Linked DNA regions of Canis lupus familiaris. The protein of the gene in region 2 purifies or fractionates together with the protein of the main gene of each other region. This does not show direct contact. Links are inferred from orthologs where the notes say so. Each region holds a gene or a part of one and is shown on either strand. Other genes may lie near its edges. The genes, in order: USP5 and MAF.

Evidence for each region.
Region 1: the proteins of MAF (region 2) and USP5 purify together in Homo sapiens (affinity purification with western blotting; 3 studies listed by BioGRID, with this or other methods). This does not show direct contact. The link is inferred for Canis lupus familiaris from reciprocal best matches to the Homo sapiens genes MAF and USP5.

What each region holds. Positions count from the first base shown.
Region 1 is NC_049248.1:7,926,370-7,930,172, reverse strand, and holds part of USP5 (ubiquitin carboxyl-terminal hydrolase 5), read right to left. Parts: intron 3,774-3,803; coding exon 3,648-3,773; intron 3,372-3,647; coding exon 3,305-3,371; intron 3,129-3,304; coding exon 2,995-3,128; intron 2,836-2,994; coding exon 2,690-2,835; intron 2,465-2,689; coding exon 2,280-2,464; intron 1,841-2,279; coding exon 1,746-1,840; intron 756-1,745; coding exon 562-755; intron 1-561. UniProt on the Homo sapiens protein: Deubiquitinating enzyme that participates in a wide range of cellular processes by specifically cleaving isopeptide bonds between ubiquitin and substrate proteins or ubiquitin itself.
Region 2 is NC_049226.1:72,522,827-72,527,310, reverse strand, and holds the start of MAF (transcription factor Maf), read right to left. Parts: upstream 2,895-4,484; 5' UTR 2,692-2,894; coding exon 1,523-2,691; intron 1-1,522.

The DNA.
Region 1 (3,803 bases), on a different chromosome or scaffold from region 2:
GTATTCTGCTGCATTATTTCCTGGCCTCCTCCCCAGGAGTGAGCCCAGGGAGGGGAGAAGGCAGCCTGGGAGAAGGGGAAGTATGGTTCGCATTCCACAGGATGGAATGGGCCAACATGCTATGAGGTTTCCACACATGTATTAAGTCCTTCTCAGTTAGAAGGCAGACTTACTTCTGTTCAGAATGTGTCTTTTTGTCTCTCCTAGTGTCCCAGGCTCTCCCCCCACCCCCCAAGTGCTACATATCCTTGTTTGGTCCCCATCTGCTGTCATTGGTCAAAAGCAAAGAGTACCTCCTCCCCCGAGTCAATCAGGAGGCCAGGGAGCACGCTGGGATTCGGGGTTCTGCTCTTGGTGGGGCTTGCATGGCTAGGTGACCATGGTGCTCTAACTGATGGAAGCATACCAGCCACAGGGTGACAAGAATGAAGACCGAGCTACAACACGGAGGTACTGACGGTAGCCAAAGGAGGAGTGTGCCTAAAGGCTGGCATCTAGGAGAGCTGCAAGGTCAGGGGTACAAGGCCTAAGGGCCAGGCATGGGGAGGGGGTGCCACTCACTTCCTCTGGAAGTCAGGGATGCTGAAGAGCACCTGGACCACAGAGTTGAGGTAGCAGCTGTTACCCAGGTTCCGGATGCCCGTGTAGCCAGGCCCAAATAGGGGCTTCAGAGGCACACCCGACTCCTGGATCAGCTCCCATTCGCCAATGCGCTGGTTCATATCTATCTCCAACTCCGTCATCGTCTTATCCGTCTGCAAGGGAAGGTGCATTTCAGACAGGGTGAGAAGCTCAGCCCCATATTTTTTCACACTGATCCCTCAGAGGGCCCAGGACGGCACCCAGCTGAAGCTACAAATCTGTTCAATTATGGATTCTAACGTGGGAGACACACTGGCTGGCTAAGCCTGGTCCCAGCTCTGGAAGGCCATGAGTGACTGTCCCTGAGACCTGTTAGTCATCAGACCTCCACTTGGGTGAAAGAAAGAAATGAAGGTGAGTCCTTCCACTCGATGTATTTTTTCCTTCTGAAGTCACCCCATCTTACCCCTCAAGCTTCACTTCCTTGATCCCCGCGATGAGCCAGTCCTCCTGCTGTACACTACTTCTCTGTCTCTCTACCCCTCTCTTTTTTTAAAGATTTTATTTATTTACTCATGAGACACACAGAGAGAGCAGAGACATAGGCAGAGGGAAAAGCACGCTCCCTGTGGGGAGCCCAATGTGGGACTCGATCCCAGAACCTCAGGATCATGCCCTGAGCCAAAGGCAGATGCTCATACGCTGAGCCGCCTAGGTGTCCCACTTTTTTTTTTTGAGTAGGCTCCACACCTAGCATGGAGCCCAACATGGGGATGGAACACACAACCCTAAGATCAAGACCTGAGCTGAGATCAAGAGTCAGACCTTTAATTGACTAAGCCGCCCAGGTGCCCCTCTACATCTCTTTCACAGCGCCCACCGGTTTGTGGTTATTCACTCATTTGCCTGAGCAGACAATGAATGTCTGCCTTTCCATCTAGAATGTAAATTTCTCTTATTCATACAGTGACTGGCACATAGTAGGTACTCCAGTAGCATTCAATGGATGAATAAATTATTCTAGAAAGTTTTTTAAAGGAAGCACAGATGCCCTGGGGACTAGGATAACTGTGGCAGCTGTTGTGGATGGGCTACTTCAGCCTCCGGCCAGGAAGGGCCCTGGCAGGCAGGGATGAGAATCGGAAGCTGAAGGGGGACCTCACCTTCTGCATCTTTAGCATGTCGATGCCAAAGTGGGACAGGTGCTCAGCCAGGTTGGGGTCCAGGACCATGTCATCCTCATCATATGAATACACATCTAGGGTGGGAGGCAGAAGCAGGGTCAGAAGAGGTGGCTCTGGACTGGCCTGGCCACCGACCAATTCCATTCCCTGCCCCAAGGGAGCATTGATGGGACAGAAGGAGGATCCCAGAAAGGTAATCCTCACAAGCCTTTCTGAGACTGGCTGTCAGGGAAGGGATGACTGAGCATGAGGGCTGGAGTTTCCTGGGACTCTACCATGTAGGATAAGGTGCTAGGGTCAGATGGGATTGGAAGGATACTCACTAAACACATAATGCTGGTGATCTCTAAGAAAGGGACTGGGATTTGGGGGGCCTAACTGAAGATTTAGTGTTATCTGCAATATGTTCATTGTTAATCAAGAGAACGTACTGATGTGTTACTCGTGTCATATACAATGAGTAACAGTTAAGCACACTTCAGCGCAGAGGGAGCCAGAGGAGGGAGGGAGTACCAGCTCCGTCGGGTGTGATGGTGCCCAGCTTGACAGCTAATGGGTAGCCTGTCTCCCTGTAGTGCTCTACGGCATGGTTGTTGCCACCACTGCCATCGAAGTAGCGTCGGCCACAAAGAATGGAGCCATCTGTCAGGTTGAGCCACAAGTTCTCTCTCATGTCACACTTGGAACACTTCCAGCCACTAAGCCAGGGAGAAGAAAGTTAGCTGAAATAGGGGTCAAGGGTATCTGGGATTGGCCCCCTGCCAGTCAAAGAGCTCCTTCCTTCTCTCCTCTGGAGGTCCCTTTGCTGAGCTCATCTCCCCCAGTCTCCCTCTGGCTCTCTCTCCCACCAGATCCCCCAGGAGGGGGGCCTCTCTGCCCCTGCTCTGGGGATTGTGCTCCAAGGTGGAGGGGCCAGGCCTCACCAGGGAGGGATTCGAGCAGGGTTGTCCAGCTGCTTGAGGTTGAAGGCATGCTTAGACACCTGCCGTACTTCCCCATCCCACGCCTGTACCTCCTGCTTGCGGGAGGCCGAGTCAGCCGACAGTAGGGCCTCCACCGCACTGGTCACCTGGGGGAAGCAGAGGATCAGAGACGGTCCCTGGCCCGCCACCCTCCCACGCCCCTCCAGCCCCTCCATCTCCAGCTTTCTCAGTGGCTTGCCCAAGACATCACTGCTTGGGCCCCTGCCTGCCCTAGAGCTCCTGGGAGGGTGGGAAGGTATTCGCACCCGATCTCTGACGAGGTCAGGCAGGCCCCCCAACCCATCCCGGGCAATCTCCAGGTAATCCGGCAAAATGACAATCTTCACATCCTCATCATATTCAAACTTCTCCTCACTGAGGTCAAACCCGCCTTCCATACCTGGTGAAACAGGGAAGAGAGAGGGTAGGACAATCACCACAAGTAAATGTCCCTCCTCTAATACAGCATCTCATTTTGTCCCCTCCACTGATCAGGCCCATTCTTTTGGGGGTTGCCAGCACCTCTGAGAGCAAAAGAGACCAGCTCAAGAGGAGGAGGACTCTAATGGTGCTCACCAATAGCCAGCCGGGTGGGCTTCTTACGCGGGGGGTCTCCAGTGCCTGTAGTGGTGTCCTCCTCTTTCTACAATGAGGCAGGAAGGACAGGATCAGCAATGGGTACCAGGGAAGGGACAAGTGGGGAGGATGGACAGGGCAGAGTCGATTAATCTTGGAAGGGAACGGAGCTTAAAAACAAGACAAAACAAAAACACACATGTGCTGAGTTCTAATGATACAAACAGAAATAGGTGGGAAACTGAGGCCAACGGGAGGTCAGAATGGATGAGACAGATTCCAAATGGAGGCCCAGTAGCACGTGCCCAAATGTCCCCAGGCATTGCCCCCACCCTGTCCCTACCGGGCGCCGGGTCCTCCGGAGGTGCAGGTAGACTCGCTGGCCCGTCTTGTTGAAATGTCTCTCCACATACTGTTTCCCAAAGCCCAGGAATGTATTCATGCAGATGTAGAGGCCACCCTCAGACTCCTGCAGCGCAAGAGGTGGGGACAGAGGATG
Region 2 (4,484 bases):
TAGAAACCCATAGCATTCCACATTTGACAATGACCAAAAGCCAAAAAAAAAAAATAATAATAAAAATAAAACAAACCAAAAATAATGGGGCAGATTTCATTTTTTTAAAAAATAAGTTTTAGACTGCTTTCCGCAACAGCACAATTTTAGTCCCCAAAATGGGGTGTCATTCTTATTAAAAAGAAAACATTAAGAGTTCTTTTAATGTTTGCCATGTTAAATTTTTAACCCATTCTGGCATCTTTGACAAGGAATGCCTTCAGTGCATTTACAATGGGAGGCTGAAGTTCTGAGTAACTCAAAGCAGTTTTGGAGCAGATGCAAACTTTCATGGGAAGAAGGCTCTAGGGTGGCACTTTTTTGTTCTGAACTCAAAAAAGTCATGAGGCAATAAAACAAAAGTATGAATGCCATGCCATAAGTCTTCGAACGTCCATTTCCAAGCCAAAAGGAAAAAAAAAAGAAAAAAAATAATTATACCATACATGTCCAGCATGCAGGCTTTTTTTTTTATTAATATAATGTCTCTTTTCCATAAAGTCTTTGAAACAGTTATAGTTCATTGTTGCTAAGACAAAGTAGCAAGCATAATAATGCATGAGATGAGAATGAGTTTTTTAATGGCAGACTAAACTCTCAGATTTGGCATGATAAGGCCAAAACTCACAAGTCACACCCAGAAGGTTGATGCAGGCTTGATTGTGGCAGGTTCATGAGGATTTTTTTTTCTCTAGTTTAGCATAACAATGCTAAAAAAAAAAAACCCGGTGGAACTCAGCGCGCTGCAAGTCTATAACATTTCACATTTTTTTTTTCCTTTGCAAGCTCAATCTCACATGAAGAACTCAGGAGGAGGGGGAAAAAAAAAAACCCTTAGCTTTTTTTTTTTTTTTCTTTTCTTTTCTCTCTGAGGAGATGAGTGGAAAGGGTGTGAGGATGGAGGTTGGGAAAAAGGACAACACAGCAAGCTCCAAAAAGTAAAATTAAAAAAAAAAAAATCCAAACAAAGTAAAACACACACGGAAAATGAACACCAGCTCATGAACTGAAGAAGAAGAAGAAGAAGAGAGAGAGAGAGAGAGAGAGAGAGAGAAAACAACACTGTGAATGATGCAGGTTTCAAAGGTGAGCATGAAGAACTCTGCTGAGATGTCTGAACGTCGTGTGCGTGTGTGCGTGTGTGTGTGTGTGTGTGTGTGTAGGGGGGTGCATGAAAACAAGCTAGCAAGTTATGGAGAATTTCAGGTTGGCAATCCATGAGCCAGACATCCACTCCCTCCCCATTTAAAAACAGCCACCACCACCGCCAAGTGGGAGCAGGGCGTGTGTGTGTGTGTGTGTGTGTGTGTGTGTGTGTGTGTGTGTGTGCGTGTGCGTGCGCGCGTGCAGGGGCAGCGGGCGACCTCGGCGGGGGGGCGAGGTGGCGGCGAGCGCGGCTCTGGAACTAGCAAGCCCACAGCCGAGTCGGACCCCCGCGGAGCACGCAGGAAGGTGGCTAGCTGGGACCGCGGGTCAGACTCACATGAAAAACTCGGGAGAGGACGGGTTGTCGCTGCTGGAGCCGTTTTCTCGGAAGCCGCTGCTCACCAGCTTCTCGTACTTCTCCTTGTACGCGTCCCTCTCGCGCACCAGCCTGGAGATCTCCTGCTTGAGGTGGTCGACCTGCTGCAGCAGCTGGTTCTTCTCGGACTCCAGGACGTGTCTCTGCTGCACCCTCTTGAAGCGGCAGGACTGGGCATAGCCGCGGTTTTTCAGGGTCCGCCTCTTCTGCTTGAGCCGGATCACCTCCTCCTTGCTCACCCCGCGCAGCTGCCGGTTCAGCTCGCGCACCGACATGGTCACCAGCTGCTCGTCGGAGAAGCGGTCGTCGAAGTGCAGGCCGCCGGCCGCGTGGTGCGGGTGCAGGGCGCCCCCCGCCCCCGCCGCGCCCCCGCCGCCGCCGCCGCCGCCGCCGCCGCCGCCGCCGCCCCCGGAGCCGGCCGGGCCGCCGCCGCCGCCGCCGCCGCCGCCGCCTCCGCCCGCGCCCCCGGCCGAGGAGGACGCGCTGCCCGCGGAGCCGGGCGCGCCGGCCGTCGGGTGGTGGTGGTGGCCGGCGGCGTGGTGGTGGTGGTGGTGGTGGTAGTGCGGGCCCGCGCCGCTCTGCGCGGCGGCCGCGGCGATCACGGCGGACACCACGGCGGCGGCGGGGCCCATCTCCTCGCCGCCGCCGCCCAGCGAGGCCCCGGCGCCGGCCCCGGCCCCGGCCCCGGCCCCGGCCCCGGCCCCGGCCGCCGACGCCAGCTGCTGCGCCCCGCGCGCGTAGCCATCGAAGCCGCCCTGGAGCGGGTGGCTGCTGCTGATGAGCGCCTCGACCGCGTCCTCGGGGCTGAAGCCCAGCGCCTCGGGGTTCAGCTGCTGCGGGTAGCCGGTCATCCAGTAGTAGTCTTCCAGGTGCGCCTTCTGCTCGCTGCCCGAGCCCGGGCTGGGCGCCGAGAAGCTGGGGGAAGGGGGCACCGAGCTGCACGGCGTGCTCATGGGGGTGGACGACAGCGAGCCCCCGGCGATGAGACGGCCGCACTGGCTGATGATGCGGTCGGTCTCCACCGGCTCCTTTTTCACTTCAAACTTCATCAGATCGAAGTCATTAACATATTCCATGGCCAGGGGACTGGTGGGCAGGTCGGAGTTGCTCATTGCCAGTTCCGATGCCATTCTCCTGCCGCCGCCGCCGCCGCCGCCGCCGCTCCGCCAGATGGGCTGCAGGAGAGGGGCCAGCGGGCTGTGCTGGGTGGCCAGCGGGTGAGCCAGCTTGCCGGGCTGGGGCGCTTCTAGCTCGCGCGGCGGTGGCTGGCCCGAGACCTCCGAGCGCGCACACACCCCCCGCCCTGCCCGCGCCCCCCGCGCCCGCCCTCCCTCCCCCCCGCTCACGCCAATGTGCTCGCTCGCTCGCTCGCTCGCTCGCCCCGGCCCCTCCTCGCCTGCTCGCCTCCGTGCGTGCCGAGCCGGCGGCTTCAGGCTCGGGAAGGTCCTCCGCGGGCTGCGGCGGCGGCGGCGGCGGCGGCGGCGGCGGCGGCGGCGGCGAAGCCGGAGGAGCCGGAGGAGCCCGGCCGGGTGCGCGGCGTCCCCCGCTCGCCGCTCCGCTGCGCGCTGTGCATAGGGAGGGCTCGCCTCGCCGGCCCGGGCTGCAGGCGGGGCGCGCGCGGCGGCCGCTCGGGGCTGGAGGCGCGGCGGGCGGCTGTCCGGCGGCGCGGGCCTTGGCACGGGGGAGTTAACACTTCATGCTTCTCGCCTTCTCTTCTGCCTGCTTTTTATTTTTTTTTTCCTTTCCTCTCTCTCTGTCTTTCTCTCTCTCTCTCTCCCCCTCGCGCGCTCTCTCCGTGCAAAGTGCAAGACAGAGGTGCAGCCCGGCTGGAGGAAAAGGAGGGGGGAGTTTAGTTCTTTCTTGCCTTTTTTTTTTTTTTTTTTTTTTTTTTTTAAAAAAGCAAAATAGCGAAGTCCCGGGGAAAAAGGCGAGGCAGAGAGCGAAAGGAGGGGGGGAGGCCGAGCCGAAGAGCGGCCCGAGCCACAGCTCGAAGATGAAAAAAGATTTTAAAGCCTCTGATCCAAGCAAGAAGAGTTTAAAGCAATTGCTGAGTTTTATAGCACTTGTGACGTCAGGCCCAAATGGGAAATTGACTGGTACTCGGGGCCAATGGGAGGCGGCGAGAGCGGCCGCGATTAGCATAATAGATAGAAACAAGGAAACTTTTCGGAGCTGTCAATCAGGGCCCAATCAGCTGACTGTCAGCTGGGACGAGCGGCCTTAACCCTTCCCGCGCCGCAGCCTCCCGGGGAGGGAGCGCAGCCCCGGCGCAAAGTTTGCGGCGGGAGGGGAGGGAGGCGCGCGGCGGGGCCGCGGGGACCCGGGGGCCCCGGGAGGCCGGTGTGCTCCCCTCGGAGCGCGACGGAGGCCCGCCTTCGGGGCGCCGGCTTGGCCTCCGCTCGCTCTGCGGGGCTTGGCCCGCCCGGCTCCGCATCCCGGGCACCCCCATCCCCTGGACCGCGAACTGGCGGGGCCGCTCTCCCTGCTCGCCCCGCCTTAGGCACCCAGGAGTCTGCCCACGGGGACCTGCCTTCCCGGAGCGTAGCCGTGCGGGGAGCTCAAACTTAGCCCAAAGAGCGCAAACTCTTTGTCCCTCTCCCCGGGACCCGCGCGCCGGGGCGCAGGGCTGCGGGGCGGGGAGCTGCGGGGCCCGGCTGGGCGCAGGAGCCGCCTGGCGGGGCGGCGCTCAGGGGGCCCCGGGCCGGGTCGCGGTCCGCGCGGGGTGCCCAGGAAGCCCGTTTCATCGCCCGCTTTGAAGGAGGGGAAATAAGTTGTTCGGGGGCCGTGACGCGCGGAGACTGGCCGCCCGCTGGCGTCGCGTGCCCTCGGGGGGAGCGGGCGCGGGCGCGGGCGCGGGCGCGGGGGGACTCGGGGTGCCGGGAGCGGGGAGCTCGGCCCTGGCGCCGCCGACTCCCGCCCGAGG